Linked DNA regions of Diceros bicornis minor. The protein of the gene in region 2 interacts with the protein of the main gene of each other region in a biochemical or structural test. Links are inferred from orthologs where the notes say so. Each region holds a gene or a part of one and is shown on either strand. Other genes may lie near its edges.

What was found.
Region 1: the proteins of RARA (region 2) and NRIP1 form a complex in vitro, tested with the Homo sapiens proteins (4 studies listed by BioGRID). The link is inferred for Diceros bicornis minor from reciprocal best matches to the Homo sapiens genes RARA and NRIP1.

The regions. Positions count from the first base shown.
Region 1 is NC_080766.1:17,395,125-17,403,005, reverse strand, and holds the start of NRIP1 (nuclear receptor-interacting protein 1), read left to right. Parts: upstream 1-4,595; 5' UTR 4,596-4,893; intron 4,894-5,434; exon of another isoform or gene 5,435-5,706; intron 5,707-5,724; exon of another isoform or gene 5,725-6,372; intron 6,373-7,881. UniProt on the Homo sapiens protein: Modulates transcriptional activation by steroid receptors such as NR3C1, NR3C2 and ESR1. Also modulates transcriptional repression by nuclear hormone receptors.
Region 2 is NC_080757.1:39,814,561-39,822,633, forward strand, and holds the start of RARA (retinoic acid receptor alpha), read left to right. Parts: upstream 1-4,546; 5' UTR 4,547-4,650; intron 4,651-8,073. UniProt on the Homo sapiens protein: Receptor for retinoic acid. Retinoic acid receptors bind as heterodimers to their target response elements in response to their ligands, all-trans or 9-cis retinoic acid, and regulate gene expression in various biological processes.

The DNA.
Region 1 (7,881 bases), on a different chromosome or scaffold from region 2:
GTGTATGGTACAAATAAGGGGTCAAATTTCATTCTCTTCCATGTGGATAATCAATTGCCCCAGCACCATTTGCTGAAAAGACTATTTTTTCCCCATTGAATTGTGTGAAATCTTAGGAGTATGTATGTGTGAGTGTGTGTGTGTGTGTGTATTTGAGGGTGAAGGTAATTTTAGTTCGGTTTTGTGAAAAGATAAAGTATATAAGAATTTTATGTTTCTTAAACTAAACAAATATAAAACAGATATGTCAGGGTCAGAGTCTATGTCTATTTCTTTTGAGGTTCAAACAATTGCACAAATGGTAAACATACATCATGTTTTCTTTATAGCTTACTTCCCTACAGAACCCTGAATAATTTGGAAAAACAGATATATGCTTTGCTTTAGTTGAAGGTTATCTGAATAAAATCTCTAAAAATTAATAGGATCATATTTTATCCAATTGATTTCTTATAGGGGTGTATGCTTGTGAAATCACAAAAAGAAATTTTATATTCATTTATGAAAGGACTGCTTAGTGAGAGCCACATAACCCATTTCTACATAAAAGGATAGGATTCCATGTAATATTTACTTTCAATTGTATAGACATATTAAACTGACCCATCACCAAACTGACAGGTTCTCCTTAGCCTCGTTGGGATTTCTTGGCTTTTTGGACCCCCTAACTATACTGGACATTTCTTTCTTTGGGGAATGAGAAGGCATCGTCCACATTTGCATTTCACTGAAGTATTGCCTTTTTCTTGCACACTTTCAGCTGTGTGTATGCAATCATTTTCAGACTTTTTCTTTAAGATCCAGTTTTCAGGATTCATTTTAGTGTAGCAATTGAGTGCCCTGGTTTTGTCAGTCCTTGGCACTCAAGCCCCATTGAAAGTAAAAGGGCTCCAATCTCATTAGGGAAAACTGCACAGTAACCGGCAGACACGGTGTCTAAACATCTTCATTTTAGCTCTTGAGACCTTCCTCAGTACTCAGGGAGCTGCAGCACATCCTTATCACTGCAGCTTCAGGCAGGTACTGCCTCAAACAAAGGCTGGGGTGGATTTTATAGTCCACAAGTAACTGGGCATGGAAGAATTGAAGAGCAAAACCCTGGGCTGCTAGAGCCAGGAAGAAGCTTGACAGTAACTAGCATAGAGGTAGTTCGGTGTTCCAGGGAAGACTTTCTTGAAGCTTATTCAACTCCAAATTTATAGTGTTGTATTTCCGCCATAAAGCCGGTTTATGTTTACAGTCCACCACCAGAGTTAATAGAGATAGGAGTAGCTGTAACTACAGTGTGGTTAATGAAGACACAGTACATAAAATGTAAACTTTGCTGATTCTCTAATTGGCATAAAAGCCGAGACACAAGAAAGTGGTCTATATCAACATAGTATAGCTAAACACAAGTAATCAACACAAATAAAATCTTAAATTTAACAAGATTTAGATTTTCAATGTAAGAAAATCTCCTTTAACTATACTATAAAAGATTTCGTCTGTCCTCTTGAGCTGTGCTGTCCAATATGGCAGCCATTAGCCACACGTGGGCATTGAGCATCTGAATTTGACTAGTCCAGATCTATGTGCAATGAGTGTAAAACCACACTGAAGTTTGAAAACTTAGTGTGAATAAAAGAATGTAAAATATCTAATAAATAATTTTTATGTTATGTACACATTGAAATGATAACATTTTGATATATTGGGTTAAAGAAAGTATATTATAACAATTAATTTTACCCGTTTCTTTTTATTTTTTAAATGTGGCTACTAGAAAATTTAAAAGCACATATGTAGCTCACGTTTGTGGCTCGCTTTATATATTTTTATTGGACAGCACTTCTCTCGAGACTAAGGGACTGTAACAGCATAACTACACTGGTGTTCCACCTGAATATATTTTTGTCAGCTGTCGTAATTCATTAGTCACTAGTTCATAGTGTATAATGTGGGTTTGATACTTCTCAATGTACATTTTTGTTTTCTTCACACCTCTTTACTGCTAAACAGTCTTTTTCCTTCCATTAGAACTCCATTCCCACTTTGCCTACTTGGCAAATTCTTCTTACCTTTTAATAGCCAGCTGAGACATTATTTTCCCTGTAAAATTTTCTCTGAACTCCCTCATCCCACACCCACACCCTAAGTAGAAATAAACACTCTGTCCTCTGCGCTATGACAGTATCTTGCCTGATATCCTCCAAATGCCTACTGTTTGCTGAGCACAGGGGTAGGCGGTGGAGGTACCCAAATGCAAACCAGAGGGACATGGATTCTGTGTCTGTAGTGCTTGCATTTAGAGTGGGATACAGACAAGTAAACACCCAGTGGAAAAATGCTATAATGGGAGAGATTCAGGGAGCACACCATAAGCATACCTTTCTCAGACTACATCTTTGTGGTGGATAAACATATTGAGCCTGAACTATAAGTCTCTGATCCCATAGGGACTCTGGCTTTATAAAAATACTTTCGTTTAACTTTATAACCTGAAGGGCATCTTTTTTCGCATCACAATTGGTTAAAGCGGGAGTTGTGTACAAAATACAAATTACTTAATAGGCATTCTTATATTACATACATGCCCCAGTATCCTTGCAATGACTCTCTTAGCCAGGAAGTTTAGGTATTGATTTTTTAAAAACAATGAACAACAACAAAATAGCCCCAACACAATTAGCATCATTAAGTAAAAATGAATTCTACAAAAGGTGTGCAATTTACTCAACACTAATGCACTATCAAAAAGAGTTCAGGATTTTAACAATTGGCTTTCCGTGGGGTTGAGAAGATAGATTAATAATAAGAGGTGAGCAGCTTTGTTAAGTCATCTAACATACGGCAGTGGACTTGTTAACACTAGTGTTGGAGAGTAGGACCAATACTCAGCTTGCTGGGTTAACTGTGTACCTCACTTTTCAGGAGGTTATCTATCAACCTCAATGATCCAAACCCAGTTAAGAAGTAAAAAGAATGCTTTTCAAAGCAACATTTGAGTAGTCCAAATATCGGTCCCAAAATCTATGCATTAAGGTTCATGTGCCTTACTCCTTGGTGAGCACATCAATCCCTTACATTAGACTGAATTGTGACAAGTGAGGCTATCTGGATTCCCATTCCCAGTCTGCACCAGACTAGAAGCTGCCAATCAGAGGAGGAGGAGAATATTAGAAGCAAGCAAGCTGGCAACAGAGGAAGGACAACAGATTGTCAGCTAGTGAAGGGGGAGAGAGAGAAACTACAAAAGGCAGAGATAATCACTAAGCCATAGTATCCTGGAATCCATCAGTGCAGCAATTGATGGCTTATATACCTCCTGGGCGCGTCCCTAACACCTAGGAAGAAGCCTGATAGAGAACAGGAAGTCGATGCATTTGTTGAATCCACTACAACCTACAACAACAAATACTTTTAATAAAATTAACCCTGACTTTTCAAGAAAAAGCCAAACGAAGTCCAATAAACTACTTAAGAAAACAGAAACATGTATAATACATTTTAGAAAATCTTCATGTAACAGTCAAAAATAGTTTTTTAAAAAAGAAGTTTGACTGCGTAAAGGGCCATACTCCAATTATGCTGATCATCACCTAACTGGAACAGTTCTCTCATTTATCCAATATTGGATAAATGATGCAATATAGAACAGCAGACTTTACTAAGTTGCCTTAAGCAGATTTCAAACTGTGGTATATGCAAATAATAAGCCATCGCATGAAGTTTAAACTATATAAGATGGCAACAGATCACACAGTTGAATTACTAGGGTGATGTAAAATAATTGTTCTAAAATGCACCATCATCATTAAGCAAAATATTCCTACCATGTGCCCAGGACTGTGCTAGGTGCTAGATTTATTAAGCATTAATTTGAAAAAAGGCTTTCACTTTTAAGACTATGAAGGTATTCCAAAACTCTCCTTCATATTTTTAAAGGTTAAACGAAATTTTAAGTGCACAAGATAGCCATTACATAACAAGCATAGAATACTGTTTTATGACTTGGATAGGTTTTTTTTTTTTTTTTTTAAGTGCACTAGCAACTCTATTTTCAAATGCTATCGAATTCTTAAGGCTATGAAAACCTACATATAAGAATGGAGTGCCTCATCCACTCATTTGTTTTGTGTAATAAGTGTTTTAACACAGGCATACCATTTCGGAGTTTAGGGTGAGGCTAAGCTGTACTTGAGCATTCTCATATCGAGCAAAAACAATTTCAGCAACGGCACTCATTTCCCCTGGTAATTTTTTCATGGCGAGTTACTAAACGCTAGACGCTGGAGTCAAAAAGAAACCTGACATCTGGGGAGGTGTTGAAGGGGTGTTAATAGTTCTAGTTAGATGTTTGGGCAGCGTTGAGGATAAGATTTTAAAACAGCAAATACAAAGAGAAGGGGGAAATTCTTTTTCGTCTGACTCTCTCCTCCCTCCACTCTCTTGCTTCACCAATCCATGTCCCCCCCAATTAAGACGCGGGTTCAGCGAGATTCGGCTGCAGGAAACCGAGAGGCTCCACAGCGCTGCCTCCCTGGCCTCGTGATGTAATTGTTATTTCTTATCTGGAGACTGAACTGAAGAGAGCTGCCGAAGAAGTGGCAGCCCTGTTCTTTTTGCCTCGTCTTGTAGGGTCAAATTCTTCCCAGGGATGATGTAGATTCGCTGACAGACTCCGCTGGTGACTTCGCAGTGACAAAGCAGCTGACGATAAACCCTGCTCCTGGGTCCTACGTCCGTCCAAGGAGCTGCCCCGGGCACTCCTCAGGTCTCCTGCCCAGTTTGCCTCTGGAGTCACTCCACATTCATTCCTGGGTGCCTACTACGTGCTGGGCGTGGAGTCAGAGTGACCTGAAGTTAGTGCCTGTGCCCCCCAGGATTAAAGCAGGACACACAGATCACAAGGTGGTGGAAATTGGGGGTGGGTGGGAGGGAGCCCAGGGGCGCGTGGTGTGGGGTGACATGGGAGGAGGGCAGCACCCAGGCGGGGACCCGGGGCGTCCCGGCCCCCAGGCTGTGTCCCCGAGAGGAGCCTTTGGCCCGTGTGGCCAGAACGATGCCCCGGGCCTCCGGGAGGAGCTGTCCAGGCGCTTCGGGGGCGGCTGGACAGAGCCGGAGCGGAGGGGGCCGGCTCGGGCGCGAGGGGCCCCCACCTCTCCCGGCCCACGCGATCCTCCGCTGCCCGGGGCCCGGCAGCCCCCGCCGGCCCTCCGGAGGGCGGGCAAGGAGGATAAGCACAAAACCGAGGGGACCGCTCAGCTCCCGCGAGCTGCCCGGCCCCGAGCGGCTGCCTGCGGCCCGGGTGACAATGGGCGGGAGGGGAAAAAAAGGGTTAAGAAACTTGGCTGAACAGCTGAATGGCGTGGAGCGGCGAGGGGAGGGACTGGGCCGCGGCGGCCTCGGCGGCGGAGGGAGGAGCGCGGCTGCGGGCAGGCGGCGAGCGAGGCGCTCAAAGTCAGCCTCGCAGACATTGCAGCAGAGCCCCGAACTCGGGAGGCGGCGGCGGCGGCGGAGGAGGCGGCGGCCGCGGCGGAGGGACGAGCCGGCCCCGCGCCCGCCCGCGCGCGCCCGCCCGTGGCCTTGCGTCCGCCGCTGCGCCCGGCAGCGCTGCTGCGCGCGGGGAGAGCCGGCCGGGGCGCCGAGGGAGGACGGGGCGGCGCGGCGCCTTCGCGGAGGGAGCCTCGCGGAGCCCGGGGCTCGGAGCCGCGGCGGCCTCGGGTGAGTGGCGGCCGCGGCCGGGGGGCTCCGGGGAGCGGCCGCGGCGGCGCCGCCGGAAACGGCCCGGAGCGCGGCCCGCGGCGGCGCTGGCGTTGGCGGGCAGGGCCGCGGGGGCGTCGGGGCGGCGGGAGCGATCGCGGACGGCGGGGTGGCCTCGGCGGCCGGGAGGAACCGTTTCCGGGGAGATCGCGCCTCTCCAGCCGGGGCCGAATCTCCCCGGGAACTCGGGGGCCCGGCCAGCGGGGCGGCCAAGTTGTGGAGTTAGCCGCGGGCTCACCGGCCCGTCCGTGCCGCCCCTGTGCCGAGCGGCGTGTCCCCTGAGCCGGCTGGGCACGGGTGGCCGGGCCGGGGGCGCGCCCCGCTCGGCTGCCCCTGGGCCCCGAGTCCCGGGCGCTGCTCGCCGCGCAGCTCTCGCTCCTGCTGCCCGGGGCGTCCTGGGCGGCGCCGGGCGCAGCTCCCCGCCTCTCGCCCGAGTGCCTCCCTGCGCCGTGCTCGCCGGACTCGGGGCCAGGAAAAGTGAATAGGGAAAGGGGCCGCGCTGCCCACCCCAGACCCCCAGGCCCGGGCCGTCGGTACTTGTCCTTCCCCTCCGAGGGCGAGGCTCCCAGGACCCGAGGCCTCAACCATCACTTTACCCCTGAGCCAGAAACCCGCCTCACGTTTCGGGTGAGTCCCGTGGAGGTCCTGGGAGGCTTCTTTTCTCTCCTCTTACTTCTGTATCCTTCTTACTATTAGTGGATATTGTTTTACGAAGGGTTTCCCTGGAAAGATTCTGCAAACCCTCCCATCCTTTCCAAAGTAGTTTCCAAATTTTAATCAAGAGTTGGTGTTCAGTCTGAAGGAACAAAGGAATCAACTGTGTCTTAGAGGCGAACAAGCTGGGAGTCCGTGACACATGTTGATCTCTGAAGCATTCCGGGAGTTTCTACCTTTTATCTCGTTGGTGATTTAATTGGGTGCTGAAGATAGTAAAAGACCAGCATGATGAGTACTTTTGCGTTTTTAAAAGGACATTTTATTTGGAAAAACAATTAAGACGTTCCTAGCTACAAGGACTTTTCACTCAGTTGGTGGAACTGAGGTGGAGTCTGTCTCTGGTAATGTAAATGATTAAATGTGAGATTGCGTGTGGGGGGGGACTGTCTTGAGAGGAAGAGAGACCGTCTGTAGTCTTCCAAAGTGAAAATGGTTGTCGGTTTATATATGATGAATGCTCTTTACGTTTCGGGGGGGAATTTGTGAAGCAAAGGGCTTTGGTAAATCATTCTTTAAATTTATGAATCGCATAGAACCTGCTTATTAGTGAATCATAGGTTTAGCAAGTGGGTGGCATCTTCCTGATGTAATTATTCAATGTTTAATCACCAGTTTGCCACCTTTGTTGAAGAGACACTGAAATAAGTGGACCTTTTAAAATAAACGGTGCTTCATCTGCCTGGCACCCAAGTGTGGGTTGCTGCCTTGAGCCTGTTGAAATGTTTTTCAACTTCGAAGTTAGTTGCTCTGGTTTTGCCCAGCGGTTTGGTCATGTCGAGTGGGTTTAACTGATTCAGAGAGTAGTGGCTTCATCAGGGATGGTAACTTCTCTCTGCCTGGAATTAGTTCCTAGAGACAAAGAAGAGTCAGTCAGTGGAACAGCTGCTACCCTACAGGCTGTAGGGTTGTTAGTCTGTTTCATACATTCTGGTGGGGAAAGACCTCTTTCCATACTTAGCCCTGAAAGTGCTCTAGGAGTGTGAGTAATAGATATATTTGGAAAAAAAAAAAAAAAGAAGACGACTGCTTATTGTTGGTTTTACTCAAAGGAGTTCTCTACAGTGCCTTTGAGGTCGTTGAAAACCAGGTTTAGTGCCTTTGGAAAGACTTGACTTAGTTGGACTCACTTCTTGCATGTGTCTGCAAACTGCAGAACTTGGATTTTACTAATGTAAACACCCTAAAATATTGTAAGTCCGCAATAAAGAAGTGTCTAAATGAGGCTAAAGGCTCTTCTGACTCTTGCAGTTTTAAGAGCAAAACATCATGATAAAAAATAACCTATACCACCACCTAGAGTCTGTTTGTTAGTTTATTGCTCCTGAAGTTTGCTTAAATTGACATGTCTCTTGCAGTTCTGATATAGCCAAAAAAATGATTAAAAAGTGCTAGCTTTCAAAAGGCCATCCAAGAGAACAA
Region 2 (8,073 bases):
TGGAATGCAAACCATGTGTGATATGAATGGTCTGAGAGCCAGTGACGAAGTCTGTGCTTCTCCCTGAGCTCTTCTGACTCCTTCTACCTTTCTGATATGGACTTGAGTTTGGGAACTTGATATGTGTACAAACGATCTGTTGGCCACTGTTTCATTCATGCTGCCCACTGTATCCTTGCAATGTGATCTGGGCTACAGCAGGTGGTATGGGATAGAAGAAGGGCACACAGAACCCTCTGAAATGCACACTAGCCACTGGTGTATGTAGCAGAGCATAGTCTGTAGACAGGAGTCTGAATGTCATACTCCCCCTCACACTCCTTTATTAGAGCATTCATTCCCTCTGAAGGTAATTTGCAAGTGGAAAACAGTTCTATACCTAGAAGCTTGGAAAGTGTCTGGGGCTATAAGGGTTAACAAGCATAATTGCAAAGATTGTCCGAAGGCTGATGGAAAGCAGAGACTGAATGGGATTGAGAACAGATGCGAGGCTTGATTTAAATTACATTTTATTGGATGCTGCAGCCTTAAGAGACGTGACTGCTTTACAGTTTGTTTCCACACTGTGGGCAGCTGCTGTCTGTTCTGTGTCCACAGTAGGATCCTGCCCAAAAAGGAGCGGCCTCCCCACCTCGTTGTGTTTGAGGCTTGGCGCCTTCCTCTTAACTTTAGGGCTTGAGTCAGGAACATGGCTTGACTCGCAGTGGGGCTGCTATGTATCCTCCATGGCTCTGAGCCAAGATTGCATTTGCAGATCCAAGGGGCCAAATTTTTTTCCCCTCTACCTCCCTTCTCTCCCTTTCCCCGGGTATTTGGAAATAGGGTTTTCTGTGTACTGGTTTGTCAGTTTCCTTTCCTTCAGTTCTCTCCCCACCGTCAATTTCTAGGTCATTGCTGCTCTTAAGACTTCAGCAATTGGAACAGGGTTGGTTCTGTCAATGATGCGTGAAGCAGACTTAGAGTCCCTGCTTGGCTTCCGCTGCCCTTGTGGGAGCAAAAGCTGATGTATGTTTGTCAGTGAAGTCTTAAGTGTAATTCAAACAGCCGAGGAGCAGATTGAGGGGAGGAAGAAAATCCTTTTCTTGCTGAAGCTGAGAGCTATGGGAAGGTGCTGGGATTTTTAGTGGGATGGGATGGGTTTGTGGTTACTAGTTTTTGCCAGGATCATAGGCTGTTTCACATAGAGTAGTGGCAAAAGATGCTGACCTACATTCTTCCTTTTGAAGGTGGTGGGGTGTGTGTCTATATCCTGGTTTATTTATTTTTCTTCAGAGAAGCAGATTAAGCTTCCATAGAGCGTTGGTGGGTATTGCCATGGAAAGAACATAGACACAATAAAATTGGTGTGAGTTTCAACCCCAGAGCTACCGCTGACATTTCTGGCTCAATGAAGACTTGCCTGTGGCTAGATAACTGGCAAGAGTGTGTGAGGTCCAAGCTACCCAGAGATCAAAAAATGTTGGCAGAGCTCTGTTCTCTCTTCCCCACTTTGGTCCCTGCCTTTATTAAGTGCCCTTTTAAGATACACCAATAAGAACTGGGAAGTAGGAATGAGACACGACTTGGAGATTTTTAAAAATATGTTTTGAGAGGTGTTACCTTGACTGTGGAGGAAGACCAAAAGAGAGAGCCAAGATTGAGATTTTATTTACATTTGTGTCTGTCTCCAGCACTTAGTGCAGAGCCCAGTACCTGGTAGGTATTCAGTAAGCAATTGTTGAATGAACAGAAATGAACCAAGTTGCTGCCGTTCCTTCCGTCTTGAGGACAGTTCTGATCTGGAGGTAAACATGGCTGATGCTTTTGCACTGACGTAGAACAGGCCCCTGTAAAAGAAGGGTGCTCCATCTTACAAAATGTGGAGGATTTATTGGCCTCACATATGCGTTCCAATCGCTCCCTCTGATGTAGTGGTATTTTGCTTAAGGCAACTTCCATGTTGCTCCCAGGAAGCCTTGCCTATGGGGAGAGTCCTACCTACCAGGTGGGAGGAGGGGTACCTGTCTGGATGTTACCTATGTCCCTAGAGATTGGCCAGAAGCTGTGCCTCTAGGTGGCAAGGGATTAAGAAGGAACCCACCTTTGATGTCCCACATTTTCACTTTTGGGGAAAGTTGTAATCTTGGGTTCCTCCTAAAAAGATAAGGTGCTCTCTAAGACATTCTCTTTTAAGCTACCGACAGAGGCAGGTCTCCCTCTTCTCAGAAGAAAGGCTTCTGTAGGGGAGAAGGCGTGACCTCTGGCCTCTTCTTCATTTTTAACCCCAACCCCAAGGTACTGGCAGTAGAAGCTAACTGGGTGCAAGGGGCCTGGGTAAAGGCTGTCTGAAGACTGGCGAAAGGAGAGAGCCAGCTCCTTTTTTAAAAAGCTCTAATTGAGTTCTGAATCAGCCTCACTCCCTTTGATCCCTCCTCTGTTTCCCACACTGCCTGAAACAGCTAGATCAGCATTTTATAACAAGGGTGCGCCTGCTCCCCGCACCCGCCCCCCCTCCTGACGCTCTCTGCTGCCGCCATCCACTGCTTGTCTCCTTCAGTTAAGATAATGAAGATGCTGAGAGATAAAATGTGTATTTAATAAGGGTGGGGGTAGGGAGGCAGAAAGGGGCAGCCAGGGCCTTCCCTAGTTTGGGGCCTAGCCAAGACTCAAGCTGAAAGCAAAGCTAGAGTAAAACTTGGCCAAAGGGTGTGGGGGTTTCTGGGCCTCAATCCAGCTGACTTCACTGCCTGCTGTTTGCCCTAAATTCCCCCACCTCCAGCCTCTCACCCCCACACTCCTTTCTTTCCTCTCTTCATCCTCCCAGTGGGAAAAGGGAGACTTGCTTCAACTTTATTTTCAGCTGGTAACTTGGCCTTTGGTGCAGCACCCCCCAACCCAGAGTCAGTTGCAAGGTCAGCTAGGGCAGCCCCCACTGGCCTAGGGCTGTAGAAGCTGTGGGTTCACAGTGGGGGGTGAAAAAAGCTAGAGTTAATGAAGACCAGCTGTTAGTCTGGGTTCTGCCTACAGTTAGCTGGAGACCAGCCGTTGGTTGTTGGAGGTACGAGGGTACGTGACCTCCATCCCTGGGCACAAGGATATCCTGTGGCAGCTGAGGATTGTGCTGCTCTGAGCTTGGTTGTATCCTTAGTTTGTAAGAGAGTAGTCTGTTTCCCTCTTTCCTTGCTCCTCCCTTCCCCAAATAACACTCAGCCCTTATTGAGCTTTATAACTGTAGTGGTGGCTCAGCTGAGATCTGAGGATCTCCAAGCTCTTGTAAACACTCATTAACTGCCTGGGAAGAACCAAGAGCCCGGTGTAACAGCTGGGAGGGAACTGAGGCACATTAGGGTGAAAGGCTTGACCTGAGCTCATCCCATGGACTCCACCCTGAGGCCCTTGTCCTTCTGTACTATCTAGCTTCTTTCCCCATTTTTCTTGCAAGACAGAGAAGAAGGTGGAGGCAATGCTACTGCCCTCTCCCCTTCTAGGAAGAGGCCATGCTTTCTCCCTTCCCTCAAGTCTGTCCCTGACTTCCCCTGGCCCTTTACCCCATGACGTTTTCCCTGCTCTGCTGCTGCGGGAGATATGTGCAACTCTCCTTGCAAAATGTTCTCAATCCAGCCCCCTGCAGCCTTCCTATCCACCTTTCCCTGGCCCACCTGGCCCACCAAACCTGAGTTCTCCCTTTGGAGCTACTGAGAAGATCGGCTATCCTAAACTGGCTCTGTAACCTTGAAGTTGATCTAAGTGTGTTAAGAGGCCCCTCTGCCCCCTATATTTATCCCAAATGGTACCTGGGAAAACATTCTCTTTAGATTGTTCATCCTGGTAAAGTTTCAGGATGGGCTGAGTAGGGCCACTAGTTGACCCCTAGATTCTGCACCTCGTTCTTCCACTGACAATTGCCATTTCTGGTAATGGATGGAGCTCAGTCACCCAGCCCCACCTGCTCACACTCTCACTGTATATGCATAATCTGCATACCTCAACACTCCCAGATACACCTCAGCCTAAGGGTATAAAACAGCAGTTTCCAACTGCCATCCAAATTATACTGCCCTTTTTACTTACTGGAAATCAAGGGGTGGCCTTCTTGGCATTTAGGAATAGTGGGGAGGGATGAGGAGACTGCTACATCTACGAGGGATAGGGTAGAAATGAGCACCCTTCCAAAATGAATGCCCCCTTCCCCAAATTCTCCATAGCTAAGTGGCTTAGCTGGAGTGATAGGGAAAGAGATCTTAACCCCATCTTCAGCACCAAAGCCCAAATCCATCTGCTTGGGGCAGGCAGGAAGAAATGTCTTTTTTCTCCTGTACTGTATTATCCTATCCTCAGCTAAAGTCATCCATGTGCTGTGTATTTGAGATTGGGGACTGTTCCTGTCTCCAGCCCATGACTCAGATTTTCTCTCAGTCTTTCTCCCAGTGAATTCTTTCTCTCCCATCAGTCCTCAGCTCTGCACCCGATGACCCAGTCGGGGCTGGTGGAAGAGGGCGGGGAGAGCTTACTGTGTGGTGACTGGGCTTTAGGACCCAACGGGAACCTGAGCCTCTTGCAGCAGCCTAACCCAGAAGCAGAGGGGAATCCTGAATCGAGCTGAGAGGGCTTCCCCGGTTCTCCTGGGAACCCCATTGCCCTCATGCCAGCACGCACCTGGCAGGACCACAGGTAGGACCACACACACCCCTTCCCAATTCTCCCTCGGCTGCTTGCCGCCGGGCCTCTTCGCTTCCGATCTGGTCGTTTCCCTCTCGCCAGTTGAGGCTTTCCCCGTCCCTCCTCCCCCACCGCTCACTGTAGTCCTGGGAGGTGGGAGCCTGGGAACAGTGGGGTGTCTGAAACTCAGAGCCCCTGCACCCTCCAGCGCCTTTCCTGCACTTCCCCCGAGGCATTCCCTGTTCTCTGGCTAAGAATAGAAAGTGAGGGGAAGGTCTGCTCAGGCCTCACGCCCTTGCACCCTCCTTTGCAGTATTGCCTAATACCCCTTCCCCCACCTCACCTCGACAGGAGAATTGGCAGTGCTGGGGTAATAGAGAACAGAGGGAGCAGGAGAGGGACCTGAGCCCCCCTGGGGGATTTCTCTCTTGCTTCCTCTCTGCCTCCCAAGCCCAAGAACTCAGGACTTCACCCCCTCCTCCCTACTCACCTTGTAGGGGAACTAACGTCCCTTTCCAGGCTCATCTCACACTTGGGTGGCCAAAGCCTTTGCTGGAGAATGGTGGAGGTTGTGAGCGGTTTTTGGTGACCTTTTCCTCTGGGGAAAGTTCTTTCAGCTTAGAGCCCCCATCCCTGCCAACACCTCAACGCCTGTAGGAAAGTCCTCCACCTGCCCCCCCACCCCCTGTGTGTTTGTGTGTGTGTGTGTGTTTGTGTGTGTGTGTGTGTGTGTGTACCATATACTTGTAAGATCTATAAGCTTTGGATAGAGGTGGCTGCGTGCATTGAAGGGGAGAGATCCCAGAGTCTGGCCAAGGCCAGAACAGGCTCAGCCCAGATGGCTGGGAATGGGGGTGTGGACCACATCCAGAAGGCCACCCAGCCATGCCAGCAACCTGGGCTCCTCGGCTTTCAGAGCCTCAGGCTCATGGTGTTACCCTGAAGCTTCTGCCCTCCTGCAGGCTCTCGGGGAGAGGGCTGGATGGCACCTACTGTTTACAGTGGCTTGTTTCTCTCTCCAGCGGGGGACTGACAAGCCCTGCTCTCTGAAGATCTAGGGCACCTCATTATGGTTTGGTGGGTTTGCAGGATTAGTGTATGAGTAACTCTGTGTGTGAGTGTGTATATTGCCTCTGGGTGTAGCGGACTGGGGAGGGGAGTGATAGAAGAGACTGGAAACACTTTGGGGGAACCCCTTTAGCTCTCTGTGTGTTGGAGGTGGGTGCCATGTCCCTATCTGGTAACTCTGTCTAGGTGTGGGGTTGGTTTGGAGGAAAGGGTGGAGATTGGAGTAATTTCAGACTTAGTTCTGCTCTTGACCCAGGGAGAAAAGTAGAGATTCTGAGTGCAAGCAGTGGACTGAGAATCAGAGGCCTGAATTTGAGACTCAGCCCTGTCATTTAACTATGTGCATTTATACAGGTCTCTAAGCCTCTGTTTCTTTACTTGTAAAAATGATGATCAGTAACAAGCCCCGCTTGCCTGGTAGAGATAATGCTATCAAGATGCCTTAAGACAGTATATTGTAAAGCCCAGTGCAAATGGTAGTTATGGCTGGAGTGCAGAGGGTGGGGAGGGTTCTAGGATGGGATTCTCTTCCTAAATCTAGGTCAGTCTCTCTGCCTTCAGTTTCCTTCCCCCATCCTTGCCCATCTGGGGAATGGAGGAACCAGGCAGGGCTGTTGCCCCAGGGTTCTGCAGAATTCCCCTAATGCCAGTTGTAGCTGATGCCAGAGCGCCTGTGGTCAGAGAGGACAGATCTCTCTACCAGGCTTTTCTTCCTCTGGGGCTCCACACCTTCTCCCCCAAGCCCTGTCTCCACCTTCCTTCTGCCATTCCTGCTCCACGTCCTTGTCCCTGTCTCTCCCCTGCCCAGTGGCCTCCTTGTCCGGCTCACTGGGCAGGAGCCCTAATCGGATTCGACAGCTGAGATGTGTGTGGCGGCTGAGAGCAGGCGGGAGGGAAGCCAGTGGGAGGATGGTATGAGGGCTGCCCCTGGCACTGCCCAGGCCTCCCAGGCACCACCTTGGGCCTGCTGACTCCCGGTTTGGCTTGGCCCTGGGGAAGGGGTGCCAGAAGAAGCTCAGGAATGAAGGGGCTGGGGTCTGAAGATTAGGGGAGTGGGAAACACACCCAGGACCCCAGGACCTCTTGGATATTTGGTGGCCTTAATGTCAGTATCTCTGACTCTGACAGGGAGGAGAGGACAGCAGGTGAGAGCCAGGCTACCCCCCCTGCCCCCCCCCCCCCCCCCCGCCATCCCCATGGCACCACTTTCTTCTCTCTTCTTATTCAGAAATGTGTTCCCTTTCCCCATCCAGCCCCTTTGGCCAGTTCTCCTTATGGGGCTCGTCTGGGAGCTGCTAGGGGCACCATGTGTCTACCTCACTTGGGCTGTTTCCTCCCCTCCAAGGTATTTCTCTCACTCACTCTCTGGGCTGGGTGCCAGGACTCCTGGGTTTCCTGCCTGCCTCATGGTGCAGGGCTGCCCTGCAGGCCTCCAGAGAGTCGCTAAGCTGGTTTCCTTCCTCCTGTATGAGGAGGGCCTTCTCCCAGGGCTGGGAGGTGTCAGGAATCCCAGGTGGGATAAGGGTGGGTGCACTGTAGCCCCTGGCACCATAGCACCCTGATCCTTCCCTCCTAGCCTCTGACTCAGCTTGGAGGCAGCACATGCCCAGCCTGGCAGGCATGGCCTGTTCTCACCTTCAGGCTTCCATCTTTACATGTGGAAGCCAAGATTTTCTGCTATCCTTTTTAGCTTTTTCCCCATGGTATCTGGGGGTGGCTCTCAAAATCCCTATGTCTGCACCCACACATTTTGGGGAGCAGGGGATTAGCATAATTAAAGCTGGGGCACTATTTTGTCTTCCCTCCAGCTGGGCCAGGGTGAAGGAAACCAGCACAAACTTCCCCGTGCCAATTCTCTCTGCCCTCAAAAGACCAGCCCGTGGAGCCAGGCCCTGCCCTCTCGGTGCCCACAATGTGGTTGGCACTGATTTGTCAGAAATTGGAAAGGTTTCCCTCTAGACCGCTTGCCTCCTCTCTCCTCCTCTTGCGGGGTAGGGACAGCTCTGTGATTGTAGGCACTTATGGGCAGGCCTCCCCCTAGGGAAGGGGTGTGGGATGCCCCTGAGATGGCCAAGTTGGCACTAGCTCCAGGCTAGAGTGCTAGACATGGTTCTGAGCTGGGAATTTGTGGGGGAGAGCAGGACATGGGCTCCCTGCCCCCTCATTTCCTGCTCTTTGGGCAGCTGTGGGCGAGAAAGTCTGCAGGGACTATTTTTAGTTAGTCTGTCCCCTGGCAGGAGGGACGTGCAGAAAAGCACGGGCAGGCAGAGGGGCTGGCCAAGGTGAGGGTAAGCAAGCAGGCAGGGAGTCCTGGGGACCCCTCAGGGCTCTCTCTGTCCAAGCAGACTTAAAACCAGAAGGGGCTTG